2 linked regions of the Stegostoma tigrinum genome follow. Each later gene encodes a partner of the first gene's protein in a complex. Links are inferred from orthologs where the notes say so. Each region holds a gene or a part of one and is shown in the gene's direction. Other genes may lie near its edges.

Evidence for each region. Proteins that work in one complex are often made in the same cells at the same time.
Region 2: the proteins of naa50 (region 1) and naa15a are in contact, whole or in part, in a cryo-EM structure (PDB 6PPL), measured with the Homo sapiens proteins. The link is inferred for Stegostoma tigrinum from reciprocal best matches to the Homo sapiens genes NAA50 and NAA15. Residues at the interface, in NP_079422.1 of Homo sapiens: Arg5, His14, Asn15, Lys17, Gln18, Arg21, Leu22, Val25, Phe51, Asn52, Ile54, Ala55, Leu80, Pro82, Tyr83, Leu86; in NP_476516.1 of Homo sapiens: Pro369, Pro370, Thr371, Leu374, Ser403, Thr404, Pro405, Thr406, Leu407, Ile408, Phe411, Glu433, Ala436, Leu437, Asp438, Thr439, Ala440.

The regions. Positions count from the first base shown.
Region 1 is NC_081359.1:15,223,183-15,231,145, forward strand, and holds the start of naa50 (N-alpha-acetyltransferase 50), read left to right. Parts: upstream 1-4,863; 5' UTR 4,864-5,028; coding exon 5,029-5,036; intron 5,037-7,963. UniProt on the Homo sapiens protein: N-alpha-acetyltransferase that acetylates the N-terminus of proteins that retain their initiating methionine. Has a broad substrate specificity: able to acetylate the initiator methionine of most peptides, except for those with a proline in second position.
Region 2 is NC_081354.1:25,840,345-25,847,732, forward strand, and holds the start of naa15a (N-alpha-acetyltransferase 15, NatA auxiliary subunit a), read left to right. Parts: upstream 1-4,329; 5' UTR 4,330-4,740; coding exon 4,741-4,794; intron 4,795-7,388. UniProt on the Homo sapiens protein: Auxillary subunit of N-terminal acetyltransferase complexes which display alpha (N-terminal) acetyltransferase (NAT) activity. The NAT activity may be important for vascular, hematopoietic and neuronal growth and development.

The DNA.
Region 1 (7,963 bases):
TCAGAATAAAAGGCTTAAGAGAATTAGCTAGCAACGTGTGATATGTACACTTAGGCTAGCTTATACAAGTACATTAAGCAGAAACCAATTTAGGATTAAACAATCACAAGAATATCATATTTTACTGATGCACATAACTGAAATTGCCGTAACACGTTCAAAGTCCACAATGCTGGGTGCATTTATCATGAGGACGTTTCAGCATGGATATGATACGATTTAAAACTTGTCGTCTTTGTCTTTAGTGAGGAGTTGAACAGTGCTTTCAAGATTTCTTGAATTGCAAAACTCCTGTTTCACTTCCCACTATCGACGTATACCAGTGCTTGACACCTCACACACTCCCTTTCCTTCCATGATTTATGTCATTAGACAGTGGGAGAATAGATTTGAGCATATTCATAAGTCAACTCCAAAAATGTTAATACACACTCCAGAGAGCAATTGGAATTTTTTTTTCAGTGGGATAGGCTTAGGGAGAAGCAGAAAAGTGCACAATGTGAACAAATGGAGAAAAAATGTATAAATTGAGAGAAATAGTACAAAGATGAGGGAAAAGATGATACAATCTACCAGAGGATAAATTGACAATTCAACCAGGGTTGTGCAAAGAAGCTTGTTACAGGCACAGAGATTAGTGGGATGGGAGAGGAGAGTACAATATAATTTGAGAGCTAAACGGAGGAGATGGGCAGAAAGTGAGGAGAATTAGGACAGAATAGAAAGAGATGGGGGAGTGGAGCAAGAGACAGGAAAACAAATCCATTTAAGCACGAGCAAAGACCACGAGACACGGAAACAGAAGCAGGCCATTCAGCCCACTGATCTACTTCACCGTTTGATCATGCCTGCCATGTTTCTCAATCCAATTCTCCTGCCTTCTCCATAACACTTGATACGCTTACCATTCAAGAACTCCACAGCTCTCTGCTGCAATGAATTCACCAGATTACCCACCCTCTGGCTGAATAAATTCCTCATTTCAATTCCAAAAGGTCACCCCTCTGAGGTGTGCCCTCAGATCCTCATACCAGTAGAAACAGTTTTCACATTATCCATAACCCTCAATATTCCGAGTCAATACAACATGGAACAAGACGAGCACAGGTGGTCAGGCAGAAGAGTAGGAAAGTCGACATTTTGGGTCAGAACGCTTATTCAGATATTCTATTAGTTCCAACCATATCCACCCTTCCATCCTTTTAAACTCCATCAAGTACAGAACCAGAGTCCTCTTCCATTCCTCATCTGACAAGCCTTTCAGCCCCATGATCATTCAGGAACAAAAGCAGAAGTCGCTGGAAAATCTCGGCAGGTCTGGCAGCATCTGTGAAGAAAAATCGGAGTTAACTTTTCGGGTCCGGTTCGGAGGAAGGGTCGTCGAACCCGAAACGTTAACTCTTGATCTTTCTTCACAGGTGCGGCCAGACCTGCCGAGATTTTCCAGCGACTTCTGCTTTTGTTCCTCCCGGGGCTACTCTCCAACGCCAACACACACTGCCTTCGATGCAGGGCCCGAACCCGCTCACAGTACTCCAAAGCCCGCCGCCAGCCTGACAGGGAAGGGACACGCTTGAACAGCTTCGCACCGTAAGGTCTGCACAAGCAGCTCACTGAGCCCGGGCGGCTGCGGTGATGGCGGATTAGGTGTCAGAGTCTCCTGCCCCCAGGACGCTGCGCGACCGTCAAAAACCCAAACAGGCCGAACCGATCGGGCCGCGGACTAACAGCAACAGTGCGGCCGGCCGAGCGAGCGAGTAAGGCCGACAAGGGAAACCCTCCTCGATGTACCTTGGCTGAGGAGAAGCCTCCTTCACCTGCTCCGGACTCTCCGATCTCAAGCTCCGATCGGCTCAGTCAGCTGATCCTAGCGCATGCGCGCGGGGGCGGGCCGGCCGGCCGGCACGGAGGGGGCGGGGCTGCCGAAATTAATATTTCGCTCGAGCCTAATTTTCAATGTTTTAACACCGCACCTCAGGTCACCATCCGAAAGAGTGTAACAAAATAAAATAAAATAAATAAAACTTTACGACTTTTGCAGTGCTCAGTGGAGGACGGAGGCGAAAATGTCAGGCGCGCTGACGTCTCGGTGCGTCACCCCTCCGCTATTCCGAGGGATTTTTAAAAATTTTTTTAAGATAAACGCCGAATCAAAATTTGATCGTTTCCTCTTCAAAATTGTTTTAAACTCCGGTAATGTTTGCGAATTGATGAATTACAATTTCCGAGGGTTGGGGGGAGGGAAGAACTCAGCAAGTCACGTGATAACAGCCTTTTCTATGTAAAATAAATATCATAAACATCAAGCCAAGCAGCATCTCAGGAGCACAAAAGCTGACGTTTCGGGCCTAGACCCTTCATCAGAGAGGGGGATGGGGAGAGGGAACTGGAATAAATAGGGAGAGAGGGGGAGGCGGACTGAAGATGGAGAGTAAAGAAGATAGGTGGAGAGGAGAGTATAGGTGGGGAGGTAGGGAGGGGAAGACGGACAGCTCAAGGAGGTTGCAGGAACAGCAACTCATATTCCGCCTGGGAACCCTGCAGCCCAATGGTATCAATGTGGACTTCACCAGTTTCAAAATCTCCCCTTCCCCTCCTGCATCCCTAAACCAGCCCAGTTCGTCCCCTCCCCCCACTGTATCCCAAAACCAGTCCAACCTGTCTCTGCCTCCCTAACCGGTTCTTCCTCTCACCCATCCCTTCCTCCCACCCCAAGCCGCACCCCCATCTACCTACTAACCTCATCCCACCTCCTTGACCTGTCCGTCTTCCCTGGACTGACCTATCCCCTCCCTACCTCCCCACCTATACTCCCTCCACCTATCTTCTTTACTCTCCACCTTCAGTCTGCCTCCCACTCTCTCCCTATTTATTCCAGTTCCCTCTCCCCATCCCCCTCTCTGATGAAGGGTCGAGGCCCGAAACATCAGCTTTTGTGCTCCTGAGATGCTGCTTGGCCTGCTGTGTTCATCCAGCCTCACATTTTATTATCTTGGAATTCTCCAGCATCTGCAGTTCCCTTTATCTCTCAAGGAGGTGGGATGAGGTTAGTAGGTAGGAGACGGAGGTGTGGCTTGGGGTGGGAGGAAGGGATGGGTGAGAGGAAGAACAGGTTAGGGAAGTGGAGGGGTGTGTGGAGCAGACAAGGGAGTCGTGGAGAGAGTGGTCTCTCCGCAAAGCAGACAAGGGTGGGGATGGAAAAATGTCTTGGGTGGTGGGGTCGGATTGTAGATGGCGGAAGTGTCGGAGGATGATGCGTTGTATCCGGAGGTTGGTGGGGTGGTGTGTGAGGACGAGGGGGATCCTCTGGGGGCGGTTGTGGCAGGGGCGGTGTGTGAGGGATGTGTTGCGGGAAATGCGGTCAAGGGCGTTCTCAACCACTGCAGGGGGAAAGTTGTGGTCCTTGAAGAACTTGGACATCTGGGATGTGTGGGAGTGGAATGCCTCATTGTGGGAGCAGATGCAGTGGAGGCGGAGGAATTGGGAATAGGGGATGGAATTTTTGCAGGAGGGTGGGTTCCATCCCCTATTCCCAATTCCTCTGCCTCCGCCGCATCTGCTCCCAGGATGAGGCATTCCACTCCCGCACATCCCAGATGTCCACGTTCTTCAAGGACCACAACATTCCCCCCGCAGTGGTCGAGAACGCCCTTGACCGCATTTCCCGCAACAACCGCCCCCAGAGGATCCCCCTCGTTCTCACATACCTCCGGATACAACGCATCATCCTCCGACACTTCCGCCATCTACAATCCGATCCCACCACCCAAGACATTTTTCCATCCCCCCCCTTGTCTGCCTTCCACAGAGACCACTCTCTCCACAACTCCCTTGTCTGCTCCACACTCCCCTCCACTTCCCTAACCTGTTCTTCCTCTCACCCATCCCTTCCTCCCACCACAAGCCGCACCCCCATCTACCTACTAACCTCATCCCACCTCCTTGACCTGTCTTCCCTGAAGTGACCTATCCCCTCCCTACCTCCCCACCTATACTCTCTCCACCTATACTCTCCTCTCCACCTATCTTCTTTTCTCTCCATCTTCGGTCCGCCTCCCCCTCTCTCCCTATTTATTCCAGAACCCTCACCCCATCCCCCTCTCTGATGAAGGGTCTAGGCCCGAAACGTCAGCTTTTGTGCTCCTGAGATGCTGCTGGGCCTGCTGTGTTCATCCAGCTCCACACTTTGTTATCTTGGATTCTCCAGCTTCTGCAGTTCCCATTACCACTAACATAAACATCACTCGGGAGGACCCTCGTAGGGACTGGCGGGGAGTTTATTTCTACGCGAAGGCCGATATGAACATGATATGGAACTGGTAGAGGGTGAAAAGGTTACAGTGGCTGTCGTTTCTTTCAAGTTAATTCCAATAGTCCGCCTATGGTCGGCGGTTATATTTTCTCTAAATTTATAACTCAAATAAAAAGGACAGAAATTTAAACGATACAGGTGATTATTTCTGAGAGGAATTCGTTAGGGTTCGGATAGTCCGAGATGCACTCGGTTTCACTCGCGGCTCCCCTGCTCGAGACCAGGCCCGCAGTCGGGCTGACTCGGTGCACAGTCGGATAGACTCGGCTCCATTCGTGAGGAGCTGGCCTGGAGGTGGGCGAACTCAGGCACCACCCGAACGGACTCGTCTCCGTTCGTGAAGTCCTGGCCGTGCCTTGGTCCGACTCGGCACCACGCGTGCCAGAGTCGGGTGGACTCGGCTCCACTCGCGGAGACCGGGCCGGGATTCGGGAAGACTCGGAGGGCATTCGGCCCGCAGTCGGGAACACTCGGCTGTCGTCGGGCAGGAGCCGAACGTATTGCCCTCCCCCAACCATTTCCTACCGCCACCGCCACCCCCCTCCCAAAAAGCCCGACTGAGGTCAGGGGTCAGAGGTGAAGAGTGGGTGGCGCGGAGAGGAGCGTGCGCGGCGAGTGGCATGTGTTAGGGGCTGAAGAGTTTGGGCGATTCACCTCCATCCTCCTGCTCCTCGCCGCTCGGTCACCAGGTGAAGACGGACAAGCGCCCGCCCATCATGAAGGGGTGAGTCCAACTGACAAGCACGCTGGATGGCAGGCGAGGGGGGGAAGAGAAGAGGCCCGGCCTGTCGGAGCTGATCTCGCCGCCCCCCCCCCCCCCCCAGCTCCCCCGCTCCCCTCAGCGGCCTCGGGCAAGCGGCGGGAGTTCCTCCGTCAGAGTTTTATTTTAGTTGAGTTGTAGGTGGAGTTGGGGGGCCTGATTTCTGCGGCCTTCTCACTTTTTCCCTTCTCTGCCTCACTCAGGGCGGAGGTAAACCTTTTTTTCTGTGCCGAAGAAGTGTTCTGTTGGATTCGACACGTTAATTCTGTTTTTTTTTCCTGTCCCCAGATGCTACCAGACCTGCGGAGTTTCTCAACACTTTTTTAAAAAAAATCACATACTCAGCATCCAGAGTACTTTACTTTTAATTGACTTTTTCCTCTAATTATGAATCCAGGAACTGAGTTTTCAATCGGACTCCCCTCATGAACCCCGAGCAGAATCCAGCTTACCACCCCTCCCCTTTCCCCGGAGACATAACCCAGCTAAGTCTCTCTCCATTGTAATACCTCAATAAATCCAACTGCCTCCCCCAACCCCTACCAGTAATTCGCTCCATCAACTCTGTTTATGTTCTATGATCTATTATTTATGTATTTACACATAACAGGTTACATTTTGTTGGTGAAGTGTTTCAACTGTTGCTTTCAGTGTTTCTGTCAGATTCATTTTCTGCTCAATTTATCTGGGAATTTTTTCATGTACCGTGATTACTCATAAAATGGTCAAATGACCCTGCTGGGCATGAAAATAAATTAATACGTTTTTATCAATTATTTTCTATTCTTTGACATATTTTCCCTGTGAAGTCTGAAGATGCTATTATCAATGCTTTGTAACTTCTATGTAGAACAGAATCTAAAATACCAATCATTAATATGTTTTAGAGATAATGGGAACTGCAGATGCTGGAGAATTCCAAGATAATAAAATGAGAGGCTGGATGAACACAGCAGGCCAAGCAGCATCTCAGGAGCTCAAAAGCTTTTGTGCTCCTGAGATGCTGCTTGGCCTGCTGTGTTCATCCAGCCTCTCATTTTATTATCATTAATACGTTTTGAAGGGTAAGAAATGAAATTTGCAAGGAAATATTTAAATAAAAATTTTGTTTATGCTGTAACACATGTTTTAACTATTTTGTCAAGACTAAGTTGTAAATAAAATCAGTGGTGGAAATTGAGACAAATCTTGCCTTTGCTATAAGCTGCTTTGGGATGTCCTGAAATTGTGTAATATGCAATGTAAATAAATCTTTTGTGTGATTTTTCCTGAAGTAAATCTTCCATTAGTATTACAGTTCTTTTCATGTAGATTTTTGAGCCTAATCTCTAATTTTTGTTGTGGAGTAAAAAGGAAAGTAAGGGAATAGGATTAGTGAAATGATGTATGAATTAGAATAAGCTGTAGAGTCGGTGCACTTGATCAAATCGGTGTGTAACTGGGCTGCATGGTTTGGAAGAATTACTACTGGCTTGTATTATGTTTCTTGATGTTTGCTGAAGAGCTGCATTGATGTAACATCACTGGATTAGAGAAGTTAAAATCAACTGTGATTCCTCCTCCTGATTACTATCTAATAATTTCTGCTGGAATTAGAGATTGTGGTGTTCCTTACATTGCTAAGGTTTCCACTGTTTAGTTACACACATAGAGAGCAATTATTAAGACAAGGATTCAGTGTGTACCTACCACCTGTGAAATACTCAGTTGTTAGTATTGTTTTCAGGGGAACACAGTGAAGTGTAGAAAATTGTAACCTGCACACATTAGTTTGTTTATGCCCTCAATAATGATCAGTACTGGACTTAACTCCTTCACATTTATTTTAAGAAATACAGTAATTAAAAATGAGAAATCCTTATAATACACAGTGATTATTACAATAGTCATTCTTGTTTAAATTCGTGACCTTGGCGTTATTCCATTTCTACACTCTTCAGATGTCAATCCTCTGAGTTATGTGTTCCTCTAATTTAGCCTCTCGTGCGTGCTTGATTTTATTCCCACTACCATCGTTCATCTGGCTTTGCCTTGCTACCTCTTTCTTCATTAAGATGTTTCTTGAAACTTAGCTTTTTGAATAAATGTTTAGTCACATGTCCTAACATTTTTACCTATGACTTGTTGAATATACTCCTGAGGTGTGCCTTGGAATATTTTCCAACATTAATGATGCTATCTTCCCTGTGGTTAATGACAGTTTAATTCTTGGTATGAGTGTCAGTGTTCAATTACTGTCTCGCAAGTATTTACTGTGCTTTTTTGCAGTAAGTATCTAAGTCCTTGACTGCTGCTTCCGAAATCAAACTGAAGTGAACGTGTGAAAAATAGTAATCGAAAGGCAGGACATGCTGACAATTGAGACAGCTTATTATCAGGAGATGGCCAGGCATTAAATGGAGTATTGTTACCTGGATGACTCTCCAGAAACATTTGGTGAAACTATGCTGAAACTAGAGATAGTGTGGCAAGTGGCAATAATGTTGTAGGACACCTGAAAAACATAAATTGAGGCAAGTGTGAAGTTATTGGGCACAATATCTAATGAGCAAGAGGCAGGAGCATTTGAAAGGTCAATATAAGGAAAAAGATCCATTGTTTTTAAATATAAGGTTTCTAGTGTGAGCAAGAAAAGGAGAGGCCCAGTATAACCAACCTATTTGCTACGCGATGCAAACTACTTAAGCACAAAGTTACTTCCTGACTCTGTCACCAAGGAACACAAGAACTTAGCATTCTGAACGTGGTTTTTGGATGTGTCAAAGCACTATTCAGGAAGTAGTGGAACAGTCAGTCGACATCACATTGCTCTGACCTAGGAAACAGCACTGAATGTAATCAAATCTTGTGTATAACTTAGATTGCAGATGTATGGAACATGAACTACTTAA
Region 2 (7,388 bases), on another chromosome or scaffold:
TGTTATTGTGCCACACTGTCTCTTTATCCTAGAATATCACTAGCCTACAGAAACCTATCAATTTATTCTTGAACCTGAATTATTGAGCTTCCGTAGAAATTTCCAAATATTCACTACCCTGTGAATGAAGAAACTCCTCCTCAACTCAGTTTAAATGGCCTATCTTTGTACTGATATTATATCCCCTGGTTCTTGAACTCATCTTAGTCACCAATCACTCATTTACGTGTATGATTGTCCACCTAAGGAAATTCCATGACACTAGTCATGGATTCTGAGGGTCCTTGCAAGGCTGATGAATTCAATCCTGCAGCTGCATCTCTGACCATAAATTTGGCAGGTGTTTCTAGGAAGTGGAATAGGTCTGTGGCATTAAGATCACTGACATTTCTTTCACTGGTTCCTCTTCCATTCTTCCTCTTGCTGATGTGTATTCTCAAAGAGTTGTGCTCCTTTGTATGGAACATTCCTCCAAGTCAGTTTATTCTGAATGAGGGTCTCACGTGTATTGACATCTATGTTATATTTCTTGACAGAAACCTTCAGGAAGTCTTTGAAGTGCTTCCTTCATCCTCTTCTCATTTGAATGCCTTTGTCAAGTTGGGTGAAGAACATTTGTTTTGCCATTCTTGAACCGCCAGCCAAGGGAAACATCCCATCCTATTTGTCTTGCCCTGTATTTTTCAAGCTGCAGTGGAACCACCTCTCATTCTTTGAATCTTTAAAGAAATTGGATTTGTATTCTCTAATGTCTCCTCATGAAGCAACCCTGCCATCCTCGGGGTTAATCTGATAAACCACCATTGCACTCCCTCCATGGCACATATATGCTTTGTCAGTTAAAGAGACTGAAACTGTACACAATACTCCAACTGAGTTCTCACCAAGGTCCTGTACAACTGCAGCAAGACATCTTTACTTATGCAATTAAATTCCCAAGGCATGAATACCAGCATACTGTTTGCCTTTCTAAATTCTTGCCGCACCTCCACGCTACCAGTTAGTGACACAGACAGTAATATTTGATCCCTTTAGACACCTACACTTTCAACATTGCACCATTTAAGAAATATTCTGCCTTTATGACTTTTTTTTCAAGACAGATGAAAATCCTCATGCTTATTTACACCATTTTCATCTGTAACGTTCTACCTCATTTACTTGGCATGTCCAAATCCCACTGGAACTTCCTTGCACACTGCTCCTGACCTAAATTTGGAAAGGGTACAATTGTCCTGCCATTCAAATAACTATTAATATTTTGTGAATGGTCCTACTAGTAGTAACACTAGTAACAACCTACCACCCTGAGAATGATCCACTTATTCCTCTCTGCTTTCTGTCTATTGACCCAATTCTTAATCCATAGCACTATAACCTCCCGCAATCCCATGTGCTATAATTATACTGGCTAGTGGGATTTTGTCAAGAGTCTTCTGAAAATCCAAATACACCACATCCACTGGTTTTCCCTTATTTATGCCGCAAACAAAAGTCTGTCAAATATAAGTTCCCTTTCATTAATCTGAGTTGACTTTGCCCAATTTGAGATTTTTAATAAATGTTCAGTTATCACAACTTTTATAACAGATTCTAATATTTTCTGTACTATGGCTACCAAACTAATAGGTCTGTATTTTTCCATTCCCCATGTTTCTCCATTCTGAAACAGTGGAGTTATATTTGTGCCTTCCAGAATCTATGGAATTATCAGAGGCAATCGTCCATGCAATCACTACTTCTATTGCTACTTCCTTCCGTACTCTGTGATAAAGCTCACCTGGTCCAGAAGACTTATCAACCCTCAATCCAGCTAATTTTTCCAAGTATTACCACCTGACTAAGGTTAAGTTCTTTCAGCTTTTCAGTTACACAAGCTCCTTGGCCACCTTGTGTTTCTGCCTAGTTTCTCCACCTCCCACAATTTGAAATGCAAATAATCCTGTCCCCATTTGTAATGGACCAACAATTACTGTTGTTAATCTTTTCTCTTTTCATATATCAGAGATGCATCTCCAAGGCACTTTTATGTTCTTCACCAGCTTGCATTCATGTTCACTTTTCCCTTTCCTTATCAGTTTTTTTGGACTTCCTTTGCTGGGTCATAAATTAATCCAAATTCTCAAGTTTACCACTACCTCTGGCATTCTTAGAAGTCATTGCCTTTGATTAAATACAATGTTTAACTTCTTTCTTTCACCATGGTTGATTCACCTTTTCCTTTGAGTTTCTTTGCCTTAGAGTAACATTTATCTGTTGAAGACCTGTGGTTGTAACATCATTAGTGATGAATGCTCACTACCCTCAGACAAATTGCTGATCCTGGCAAATTTTGAGTATCTAAAACATAATCAAGGGTGGTACACCTGGTTAATGATCCCTGTTCTACTAATGAATGCCAAGTATCTATTAGAAAGTTTCTCAAGCAATGGTTCTGCTGCAGAGAATGCTTGACTTGAACTTTGCAATACTCACCACAGCATATCTGCAATCTACAGGTGCAGTCCCTGATTTATATGCAGTCATTGAACATTTTCCAGTACTACAGCCAGGTTCATGGAATTAGGCTATTTGTTTTGTCTTCATTAGTCACCTCCTCTGGTTGGAAGGCATTCCCTAACAAATTCTTGGTCTCTATGAAACCATGGTCACAGTCTTCATTCAGATTGCATGACTAAAAGCTTCAGTACCACTTCTCTGAACTTGATAACCCCCCTCCTTGCTGTGGTGTTTCAGTTGTCTTGTTTTCCATTGCAGATAATTGCATCACTGAAGTCAGTTGCAGTTTCCTCTCACAATACAACTTTCCTTGTAAGAGACGTAAGCTAAACTAATAGCTGGATACTAACTGGTGTACCAGTGAGGCTTGGAAGCTGTTGAGTTCCCTTATGAGCTATGGAACACCCCTATTAAATCCTCTCTCAACCTTCTCCTTCAGCTACGATTGCTCCAAATAACCAAAGAAGTCCCTCATATCTAGAGGCATTCCTGACATTTTTAAAATCACTAGTGCCACCATAGCCTTCCTAATCACTCTCCCCAACAGCATCGTAGGTCTATTTGCACCAAATGGCCGGCGCTGCTTCAATAAGGTAGCTCACCGCACCGTTTCCAAGGGCAATTAGGGATGGACTAATAAATGCTGTATTTTATACTCTATTCCTCTATTTATACAGGCAAAAAATAAAATGGTACAGATTCAGGAATTTCGAAATAGACACAGAACGTTGGAGAAATTCAGCAGCTATAGGGAGAAAAACAGTTAACATTTCAAATTCGATATGATTTCAGAAGAAGCGTCAAACTGTTTGTTTATCTACAAATGCAGAGTTTCTCCAGCATTCTCAGTGTTTGTATCCAAGATCTCCTGGTCAAAGTCAAAGTCTTATCCACTTTCTCAACCTGCCATGTTACCTTCAACAATGTCTGAATACCCCTGGATCCCTGCGTTTCTGCCCTTTGAAACTGAATAAGTGGCTTGAAATGGATTTGGTGCGCACGGATTGCGAGTCCGAATCCCAAATACTGGGTGAAAGCAACTTTAAATTCAAATCGGTGGCCTTGTTTTGTCTCAAAGAATAATAATACCGGAAATTACCGATACAACTCAAACGTTCACTCTTCGTTGTCTCGAAAGATCTTCCCGAGCTGATTATCGTCCTCTACTTAGCAAGTAGATGATAGACAGTTTTCCATTTAAGTGTTGCTATTAACGTGCACGGAATCTTAGTTTAAAAGAATTGCCGAATGTGGCGTACGGTCGGTTTTGCAAATCCAGTGGTACTTAAATGAAGTGGGAGGATTCTCTCACAAGAGTCAGAACATATACTGGGAGCCACACCTACTTTCTCGCCTTTCATCAGGAAGTGTTAGTGTAGGTGCAGATCTCAAGGAATCACCTTGACGTGTTAAACTTAACCGATGCTACTGGCCGGAATACATACATTCCTGTTTGTATTAATACACTGCGGTCTACAAGCTGCGTGTTAACAAAATCAAAATACTGCGGGTGTTACTTTTATTATCTTCTTGGTTCCATGATATTCACCCATACGATAATTTTACTATATAAACATTGTCAGGTATATAAGGAAAATTGGAATCTACTGTTATGTCACTGATATTGTTTGTTTACGCCGGATTTCAGAAAAACAAAACAAATTTATGATGAAAACGCAAGAACTCTGGAAGAATAACACACGGCCAGCAAAAGTTGGCTCTCGATGGGAATCACTCGGCACGCACTTGGGAGGATCACACGCGGTCCTCCACTGTCCCGTCGTGCTCCGCGCATGTGAGGTCAGCCGACGGCGTGAGGGTTCGCTGCGAGCGGCGCCTGCGCAGTGGCAGCTGACCCGGAGGGAGCCGGCGTTGCTGCTGACTGCCGCCCCCGCCATTTTGGTTGAGGGTTTTTCTTTCCTCCCCTCCGCTGAATTCAGTGCTGCAGGGAGCGGAGCGGAAAAAAAATACACACGTGAAGGCGGAGGTTCCGCTCGAAGCGAGAGCAAATTGCGGGGCCGCGGAGTGGCTGGTGGTGGGGGGGTAGAAAAGAGAGGAGGGAAGGAAGAAGTGCATGTGTGTGTGTGTGAGAGAGAGAGAGAGAAAAAAGGCAAAAGCGGCCCATGAGCTGAGGAGCCCCAGGATCGTATTCGGGGGGAAGCAAGTAAAACCACCAAAGACAGCGCGTGTCTCACTTGACCCGGCGAACCGGCCACCGAGCCCGCTGCACTAGAGCTAGCCATGCCGTCGATAACGCTGCCAGCCAAGGAGAACGCCCTCTTCAAGCGGATCCTGGTGAGTGACTGAGGGAGAACGGCGGTGATCCAGAGCGTGCGCCTTCCCGGTCGGATCGGGGCACTTTTGTTTCCCCCCCCCCCCCCCCCGGCCTCGCGGTGGTGGCACGATTTGCCCCACAACTGGTGTGCACACCTCCCACCACCAATGCCCCTAAACCTGCGAGCGGAAACTGCGGCTCCCTCCCTGCATCCATTTTCGTGCCTTTTTCAAAGTTGAAACTTTACCCTGAGTCCCGTTCCGCCGGCATGTGTCTACTGTGATCCTTCCCCCCGCCCCCCCAATACCGCGGCCTTGCTTCTCTCCTCACCCCCCCCCCCCCCCGGGGGACTTTTGTCCGACTGACCGGGTTGTACCGTATTCAAAACATTTCTCCCTCCGTTACCCCCACCACACACACACACACACACACTGCAGCCTCTTATGTACCCGGTGGCAACAAGCGTCTTCCTGCCTTTCTCCGGCCCGGGCCTACACGCTGCAGTGAATGGGATGTGAGCAGGCTCAACCCGCCGGCACTCCCCTCTCAACCTGGGAGTTTGCTGGATTCTCCCGCCAGTTGCTGCCTCGGGCTCCGACTCCGGAGGTTTTTTGCCTTCCTCGCCCCCTTGCCAGCGTCCGGCACTGCTGAGCTCAAACACGTGAGACGCGTTGGATTGGAGGCCGGCCCCACACTTTGTTATCTATGAGATTTCGAACCGCTCCTCGCTTCTTGTACCGTGAGGCACCAGGCCCTGCTCCATCTCTACGTCTTTGTTGCAATCTCATTGGCATTCTTTACTTTAACACAACTTCGATTTTATTGCCCACAAATTGAGAGTAGATTCTGAATCAGCTGCTTGGGTTTTATAGGTGTCTTTCTAAGTCTCCTATGAAATTACCTAGCAAAGTTCAGTAGAGGCCTTGATTAGGCTTTATCATATGGAGCACGTTTTTTAAAACGTCCTGCGAGGCGTAAATTGTTTAGATTCTTGTATACTAGACAGGTCATAAGTTGTGATCTTGTGTCTTATATACCGGGAAAAAGAAGTAAAGCAGTAATATGGTTCAACTTTGAGGAGAGGTGTAAAATAATTGGTTTATTTACTGCCTTCGGCATGCCAAACTTTGGTTGAGATGATGAATTTGTTTTTAAAGTAGCCCAATTAAGGCAGCAAGTAAAACTCACTCATAGATTACATCGATAAATGCTCTGGCGTATTCAACATCATTCATTTCAGATTGAGTAGGATTTTTAATACTGAATTAGAATGTTATGCTTGTCAAGAAGGAGATTTGAATATGAATAAAATAACTTTGCACTGGTTCAATGTGTTTCATCACATTGGGAACATTTGAGTCTAGTTTTCAAGTGGCATTATGGTGAATAATTGAAAAAAGATTAGATGGGCATGATGTATGTTTATAGGAACACCCTATCGCAGATGGTATTCAAGGCTTTTGTTTTAAATGCTGCCTTTCTTGCTCTTAATCTTCAACATTAAGTATGTTAAGTGTGAACCGGCCAAGGTATGGCAACGTGTCTCCCTGCTATAGGAAAGATGTCATTAAACTTGAAAGGGTTCAGAAAGAGTAACAAGGTTGTTTCAAGAGTTAGTAGGAACTGCAGATGCTGGAGAATCTGAGATAACAAAGTGTAGAGCTGGATGAACACAGCAGGCCAAGTAGCATCAGAGGAGTAGGAACGTTGAAGTTTAGGGCTGGAAGGTTTGAGCTATCGCAAGAGGCTGATTAGGCTGGGGCTTTATTCCCTGAAGTGTTGGAGGCTGAGGGGTGGCCTTATTGAGGTTTAAAAAATCATATGGGGTGTGGATAGGGTGAATAGCCAAGATCTTTTCCCACGGTACGGGAATGCTAACCTAGAGGGCGTAGGTTTGAGGTGAGAGGGGAAGATTTAAAAGGTGTCTGAAGTGCAATTTTTTTCATGCAGAGCTGCCAGAGGAGGTGGTGGAGGTGGATACAATTATAACATTTAAAAGGCATCTGGATGGGCACATGAATAGGAATGGTTTAGAGGAATGTTGGCCAAATGCTGGCAAACGGGATTAAATCAGTTTAGGCTGTCTGGTCAGTGTAGCGAGTTGGACCGAGGGTTTGTTTCTGTGTTCTGTAATTCTGATTCTGTCATCACTGGCCCACATCTCTTTATCAATTTGTGAAATGGTTATAAATGATATCAAACATTTGCAATATGTGGAATTCTTAGACGACTAGTACCCTGAAGCAAAGTGGAGCCATTGTTTAGCCCTGGCTCTGTAACAATGAAAATATTATTAAAATAATAGGGCAATCAGCTTTAACCAGAATTTGTTATACTGTAACAAGTGATACCATAGAAACTGAAGGACCAAGAACTACATCAGAAGGTGCGTTAGCAAAGCTTCCTAGGGGTAACAATGTGAGCCATAAGTATTTTAGATAATAAGCAACAAAATTTTCAACCCATACGTGCAGGCCAGAGGTTTGATTTTTACATTGGCCTTTATGGACCTGTGCCCAAAATGGGGAAGGTACATAGATGATAAATATTTTGATAAGCAGTTGCTGCTCTACATTTATTTAGCTGTTTAAATGATAATCCAATTAAAGTCAGG